Lonchura striata: one gene and its partner. The protein of the gene in region 2 purifies or fractionates together with the protein of the main gene of each other region. This does not show direct contact. Links are inferred from orthologs where the notes say so. Each region holds a gene or a part of one and is shown on either strand. Other genes may lie near its edges.

Region 1 (3,743 bases), on a different chromosome or scaffold from region 2:
GTGTCACCCCCTTATTCAGTTAAGAGCCTATATGAACGTTTCAATAAAACTATTTACTCCTCCCACCTGGTTGCTATCTGGAGGAGCTCACAAAAATTAAGAAAAAAAAACAAACCACAGATTTCTCACAGCAATCTTCCAAATGCTCCTCCTACCCCCACCCCAGAACAGAAGAAAGCAAAGAGAATGAGAAAGTAAATCTAAAACACAATTACGAAATAAGATCTAGTTTGGCAAAGCTGGGGTGAGGAGGAGTTGAAAAATGAGAGCTGCCTTGCTGCAAACGCCATCTTGTTGCAGCTACTGGGCCCAGGCACAGAGAGATCCATTCATTCACAGCAAAAAGAAAATCAAACAGACACCCTGGCTAATCTGCAGCCACCAAAACAACTACACTATTATCACCCCTTCTCCTTCTCCTCTCCTCAAGCACAAGGGAGAGAAATAAACCCTGATCTACCACATTTAGGGACGGATTTAGGTATTAACACATCATCTTCGTATTCTCACACATATCGACAGCATTTTCGCTTGATTCACATCCTCGTGTCCACATCAGCTTAAAATATGGGATAAATGTCTCACGATTAGGTGCAGATATCCTACAGCAGCAAAACGTTTAATTTTTCAGTCTTAAATCGCCTCCCCAAGTTGAGCCAACTATTCTCAAAAGCTGTTTCAATAATCACTTAAGCCTTACATTTACAGTGCTTTCCTCCTATTTCCTCCTGTGGAGACAATACATAATAACGTGGCAGTCTGCACATCCTAGAAAGGATGCCTGGTTTAAAACGAGTCCCAGCCGTGACTTTGTTAGAGAATAATGAAATATCACATTCGTTAAAATTTCAGTTCATCTTCAGGAATGATAAATTGACATCTTACAACAACCTCTACATCATTCTGATTTTCTTCTAGACAAGATTTTTTTGTTAATAAAACGCCTCACCTCTTTCATATTTACATGCAAGGCTTTACACATCTTCGTTCCCTACAAAGCTGTAGGATTAAAAACCCTACACGTTCAATATCCCTTGCACGGATAAAAAAAAAAAATAAAAAATGCTGAAATCCTTTGGATAAAAAGCTCAGAATTTAAGCAATATTTTAAACAACATTTCCAAGGAGAAAACTCCATCTTTCTATTGTAGCAAACACCCTCCATGATCTTCGTTATCGCTGCTACGGGCACACAAAAATATGCAGCACCGTAATACATGGGGGAACAAATATGCGGTCTGAATCCATCCTCGGTTCCGGTTCTAACGAGAACAAAACCTTCCCTACCCCTCCCTCGCCCAGCACACCCAGCATGAGCCCCATCTGCGAGCCCTCGGCTGGCTGGGGGTGCTGGAAGCAGCCTTACCCTGTTTGTCTCACCCCCGGCTCCTCTTAATCAGTTTTCCACCATTACAGCAGCCACACCATTGCTTTTTTTTTTTTTTTTTTTTTCTCCTCCTCCCCTTCGAATCTCTCTCCAAATATTCCCTCTGCCGGCTGGATCGCTCGGGAAGTCGCCTTTTGTGGCTTAAGACAAGACCCCAAGACCGTCTAGCAGGGACCACTACAGCGTAATTATAATTAAAAATGGAACCCCGCAAGATCCGAGGTCTCCTCCCTTTTCGCCTGGAAGCCTTCGAGAGGGAATCAGTCCCACCCCCACCTTTTTCCCCTCCTCCTCCAGCTACAAACACACTTCTTTTTTAGGGGAAGCTGGAGCCCCGAGGAGGTGGGAAGCGCGGGGGAGGGGGGCTGTTTCCAACCCCGCCATACCGAGGGTCGCCGAGAACGGGGGCGATGAGCAGGCGGCGGCCCGGGGCCCCGGTGCGGCGGCGGAAGGGGAGGACGAGGCAGGAACGGAGAGGGAAAGGAGAAGTGCGGCAGGAGGAGGAAGCGCGGGGGAGGGGAAGGAGCGGGGCTGAGGGGAGCCGAGGGAAGATGGCCCCGGGGTGGGGCCGGCCGGGCTCGGCGGGCGGGAAACGCGTCCTGAGGGACCGCCGCCCTCCCCGCGCCCCTCACACGGTTACCTGCCCTCCCGGCCGCTGCTCATGAACCGGGCCGGTCCGTCCGCCGCCCGCGGTCCTGCCCGCGTCCCGCCGGCCTGGGGAGGGAAGGGGGGCGGAGGAGGAGGAGGAGGAGGAGCGGGGGAGCCGCCCGCGATGCGCCCCGGCGGGTCCCGGGGAAGGCGGCAGAGCCGAGCGGGAAGGAGGGATCCGCGGGGGAGGGGGTGTCGCTGGGTCCCGACTCCTCCTCAGCCCGCTCAGCTCCCCGCAGCCATCGGGCAGCCTGGGCGCGGCCAACCTCCCTCCTTCCCCTCCTCCCTCCGCCCCGCCCGTGCTGCCCGCCCGGGAAACCCCGGCTCGGCTCCCACCCCGCGCAGCCCCGCCGCTGCCCGCCGCCCCTCACCGAAGGCTCCGCCGCCGCGAGCCTCACCGGAGGCTCCGCCGCCTCCACCGGGCACCCGCCCAGCGCGGCCGGGAGGGAGGGCGGGCGGTGCGCGCTCCCGGGCGCCTCGCGCTGCGCGCCCCCGCGCGGGCAACGCCCTTCGGCCCCTTACGCTGGCGGCGGCCGCGCGCCTCCCGCCTCCCGCGCGCTCCCGCGCGCTCCCTCCCCTCAGCGAACAAAGGGCGAGGGCGGGCGATCGCGGCCGGCCCTCAACGAGTCCGAAAGAGCCGGATGGGAACGAAAAGACACGGGAGTGAACCCACAAATGGTGTTTAAGCCTGGGGAGGCAGAGCTTCCGCGCGTTAAATGGGAGCGCTCCGGGCTGCCGAGCGGGAAAGGCCACAGGCCTTAAGTGCTTCTCACAACAGGCTGGCAAGCAATAAATATCTTCATATCATCGTGTGAGGAGACTGCGGGAGCTGGGCCTGGTTAGTCTGGGAAGGGAAGACTGAGGAGGGATCTCGTTAATGAATAAAAATATCTCCAAGGGATGTCAGGGCATCGTGCCAGACTCGTCAGCAGTGCCCAGCCACAGGGCGAGGAGCAATGGCTGTAAACTAAACCAGAAGTTCCTCCTCAGCATGAGGAAGAGCTTCTTTCCATGAGGGTGGCTGGGAGCAGCTGGGCGTGGAGTCTCCCTTTCTGGAGCCATCCCAAACCCACCCGGACACTATTCCTATTTCATCTGCCCCAGGTGACCATGCCTTGGCCAGGGTGATCTCCAGAGAGCCCTTCCAACCCTCACAAATCTGAGGTTCTGTGTTGTTTCCCTCAGGAACTTGACAAATAGCAATTCTGTAGCTTAGAACTTCTTCTTTTTTGTTTTTTTTTTTTTTTTTCCAGCTTTGCTTATAAAGGTAATCACACAGCCAAAGTTTCCAGAGCATTCTTTTCATAGTCTCCTCGCAGCCTCCATCATAGCTCTGAAAGGGTTTGCATGAAAGAGAAAGTAGGAAAAAAATAATAAGGAAGCATTAAATTTGCAATTTCTGTCTTGCAGACCTCACATAAATCAGGCAGGAGAGATGTTACCTAAATGGAATAATTTCCCCCCAGAACTCATACTGAAACCCTAATTAATATTGAAAAGTAAGTAGAGATACAGTATTGCATCACTTTCTTCCTATCACAGATCGAAATCTGGGTTTTTTTCCAAATATTTGTTTATACCTTGCTAAAATGTGAGATTACTTGGCAACCAAAATAGGTTTATAGTAAAAGTAAAACAACCCACAACATTATACCCAATTTTCAATTAAAACCTATCCAGCATGAATACACTGTAATAAAATAAACAA
Region 2 (3,743 bases):
GCCACAATCAGTAACTGAAAATGCTTTTGACCTGTGTGAGAGCTGACCTCCAGGAATATCACAGAACCACAGAATCAAAAAGTAGCTTTGAGTTGGAAGGGACCTTAAGAATCATCTAGCTCCACAACACCTTCCACTCGCCCAGGATGCTCAGAGTCCCATCCAACCTGGCCCTGGACACTGCACGGATGGGGCATGCACGCTTTCTCTGGGCAGCCCATTCAGTGCCTCTCAGCCCAGGGTGAGGAGTTCCAGTGCCTGAGCCCAGGATAAGGAGTTCCAGTGCCTCAGCCCAGGGTGAGGAGTTCCACTGCCTCAGCCCAGGGTGAGGAGTTCCAGTGCCTCAGTCCAAGGTGAGGAGTTCCAGTGCCTCAGCCCAGGGTAAGGAGTTCCAGTGCCTCAGCCCAGGGTGAGGAGTTCCAGTGCCTCAGCCCAAGGTGAGGAGTTCCAGTGCCTCTCAGCCCAAGGTGAGGAGTTCCAGTGCCTCAGCCCAAGGTGAGGAGTTCCAGTGCCTCTCAGCCCAAGGTGAGGAGTTCCACTGCCTCAGCCCAGGGTGAGGAGTTCCAGTGCCTCAGCCCGGGGTAAGGAGTTCCAGTGCCTCTCAGCCCGGGGTGAGGAGTTCCAGTGCCTCAGCTCAGGGTGAGGAGTTCCAGTGCCTCAGCCCAAGGTGAGGAGTTCCAGTGCCTCAGCCCGGGGTGAGGAGTTCCAGTGCCTCAGCCCGGGGTGAGGAGTTTCCCCCCGAGCGCGCTCGCAGACGCCAGCACCGCCCCAGGCGCGGCGCGCAGGCGCGGTGGGCGCCGGGCGGGCGCCGGGCGGGCGCCGGGCGGACTGCGGCTCCCAGCAGGCCGCGCGGCCGGAAGCGGCGCCGCCGTGCCGCCATTCCGGAGGAGCGCGTGCGGGCTGCGGCGCGGCGCTGGTTCTCTGCGGAAGGAGGGGCGGGCGGCGGGTCCCGGCGGCACGGCACCATGGTGAGCGGCGGGGCGGTGGCGGTAGCGGCGCCTCGGCCCGGGCCGGGTGCGGCGGGGCCGGGCGGGGCTGCGCTGAGGCGGGCGGGCGCGGGGCCTGGCGGGCGCGCCCCTCGTTGCCCCGCGCTGTGCCGCGGCGGCGGCGCCCGAAGGTTCTGGAGCCGGGGCGGGGCGACTCCGAGAGCCCCGGTACCAGTGTTCGGGATTTGATCCTGCTTCATGTAAGGCCTTGGCTGCTCTGCAAATGTTGGGCCTAAAGGGCGGGTATTGGTTGCCGCTATGATTAATTTGCATTGATACGGGAAAAAAAATTAAAAAAGCGAGTTCAGCTCAGGTATCAAAATGCTAAAGGCTCAGTACGGCCAGTACATAGACTTGCATTGGTTCCTGCTGGTTGTGCGTGCCCTCGGGCTGCAGGCCGGCTGGTTGGGCAGAGCCGAAAGGGATGGGCTGGCAGAGCTCGGTGCGCTGCGCTCTGCGGGCAGCTGCGCTCGGTCCGGGGAAATAATTTTATTTAAAAACCGATTGTTTAAGTTGTTACAGTGAGGGATTTAGAACACATAGTTTTACTGAAGCTAGAACAATATTCTTACATTAACTGTGTTTTAGGCATCAATTTCCCTTGCTCCTGTGAACATTTTCAAGGCAGGTGCAGATGAAGAGAAGGCAGAAACAGCTCGCTTGGTAAGTTTAATTCTCTAAGAAACTGGTAGTACTTGAGGTAATTAAATTTTGTCTTTTCTACTAATAAAAATATTTTCACTATATTATGATATGGAACTTTTATCTCTAACTGGCTTTTCTTCTTGCACGTCTGTGAACAGAAGGGAGGCGGAGTGTTTATACTAAAAATTAGAGAAACTTTTCATTGTCAAAACGAAAGTACCTCTACTGGAGGTCAGAAAACTGGTATTTATTGAGTGGCATTTCTTCTGGGTTTGAGACAGACTTACAGTTTCTGGGGGATTCAAGTATATTTGATCTGATTATCAAATTTTAGCAGTTAAGAATCTTGCCTTAAGTTCAGTTAAGCCTCTGTTGAAAGTGGTGGAAGGGTTGGGTAAAATGTCAAAAGCTGTGTGGTAATGTATAATAATTTTATTAGAATAGAAATAAATTGTTCCCTGAGGTATATTTATTTTCATTTCAGTCATCCTTTGTTGGTGCCATTGCCATTGGTGACCTAGTCAAGAGCACCCTGGGGCCTAAAGGCATGGTAAGACAGTTCCTGGCTCTCAGTAGGCATGCCCATTAATTTAGCTTTAATAGTTACAGTGCCTTTTCAAGTAGTATGCTAAATCTTGCATCTTGTAGGACAAGATTCTTTTAAGTACCGGGAGAGACAGCTCTGTCACAGTTACCAACGATGGTGCAACCATCCTGAAAGCTATTGGAGTTGACAATCCAGCTGCCAAGGTCTTGGTTGGTGAGTGGTGGAATCTGTGGTATTGGTGATTCCAAGATTGTAAAAAATGTCTTTCTGCCCCGTTGCCAAAGAAGAAGCCATAATTCATCTGCTGGTTTCAAGCTTGTTTATTTTTGCTTATCTCTAACATGTTCTGTTGCCCTGCTGCAGGTCTGTCCTGCAGGGGAGCGTGTGGGGCTCTGCCCTCAGTGGGATGTTACAAACATTAAATACCAGAAACTACATGTGCTATATTTACAATAATGTGCCAATATCTGTCACCTACATTGAACAGTGTGTCCCCAGCCTAAACCAATAGAAAAATGCCAGCACTACAATGAAACATGGAGGTCATGAAGAAGGAGAAGAAGGACAAGACACACCCAATTTCCTCCATCTTGTCCCCTTTGAACCCCTAATCTAGAATCCTAAAATTTTACTTTTGCACCCGTGCCACACTGAATTATTACTTACATCAAACACTCAGAATGTTAATGATTACTTACATCAAACACTTACAGGATGAATTACACTTGTAATTCATCCTGTAAGATTGAAAACTTTTCCATGGACAGAGATCAGAGACAGTGTCTCTCGGGGCTCTGTACAGGGGGGGTTCCTGACCCCCTGCCAGGGTCCCAGGGCAGCCAGAGGGAAGCTCTGGATTCCCCCAGGTGAGTTCTTAAAGGCTTGGTATTTCTTAATTTGTAACTCTATAGTGGAGTTTTTATTTGTTCTTAGAAAAATGTTCTTGAAATACTGTGAAAAATTGAATGGAGGGGGAGTAGAAATCTGAAGTAAGAAGGGCAGGGTACTGCAAGAGTTTTAGCATTCTGCAAAAGTAAAATTCTGATGTATGCTGCTCCTCAAAACTGATTTTTTACCTTCTTGTCCCTTAACCCTGCTTTGTCCCAGTAGTCAGAAGGGACAAAAGACAGCTGTGTGACCCTCTTAGTGCAGTGGGAAAATTTGAAACAGAAATCTGTGCAGCAACAGAAGTTCTCTCTGTTTCTTCCAGATTTAAATCTCTGTCACTCAGTGAGCACTGTACTTCTGTACAGTTTACTGTTGTGAGCGACTGTTCTGTGTGCCAGTGGTCCAGTACTGGTGACAAGCAGGAGCCTGAACTATTGGATGTCAGTTTTCCTAATAATTTTGCTGCTTCCCAGTTTATCAGCAGTTCATGCAGGAGACCTGGTTATTATAGTCTCTGATCCTGTATCTATACCTTAGAGCTTCTATCCAGCTGTACTTCCTTTTGATAACCATTATTAGGATGGGGAACAGAGGGGAGCATCCTGACCATCACCAGGCTGAAACTGGTGTCTAGGTTGTAAATGAAGAGGAGGAATTTGAGGGATGCCAAGTTTAAT

Evidence for each region. The genes of interacting proteins can lie anywhere in the genome.
Region 1: the proteins of CCT2 (region 2) and GNB1 purify together in Homo sapiens (co-immunoprecipitation; 3 studies listed by BioGRID and IntAct, with this or other methods). This does not show direct contact. The link is inferred for Lonchura striata from reciprocal best matches to the Homo sapiens genes CCT2 and GNB1.

The regions. Positions count from the first base shown.
Region 1 is NC_134626.1:2,642,659-2,646,401, forward strand, and holds the start of GNB1 (guanine nucleotide-binding protein G(I)/G(S)/G(T) subunit beta-1), read right to left. Parts: upstream 2,519-3,743; 5' UTR 2,407-2,518; intron 1,730-2,406; exon of another isoform or gene 1,706-1,729; intron 1-1,705. UniProt on the Homo sapiens protein: Guanine nucleotide-binding proteins (G proteins) are involved as a modulator or transducer in various transmembrane signaling systems.
Region 2 is NC_134607.1:44,620,987-44,624,729, forward strand, and holds the start of CCT2 (T-complex protein 1 subunit beta), read left to right. Parts: upstream 1-830; 5' UTR 831-965; coding exon 966-968; intron 969-1,150; exon of another isoform or gene 1,151-1,186; intron 1,187-1,574; coding exon 1,575-1,649; intron 1,650-2,115; coding exon 2,116-2,181; intron 2,182-2,279; coding exon 2,280-2,391; intron 2,392-3,743. UniProt on the Homo sapiens protein: Component of the chaperonin-containing T-complex (TRiC), a molecular chaperone complex that assists the folding of actin, tubulin and other proteins upon ATP hydrolysis.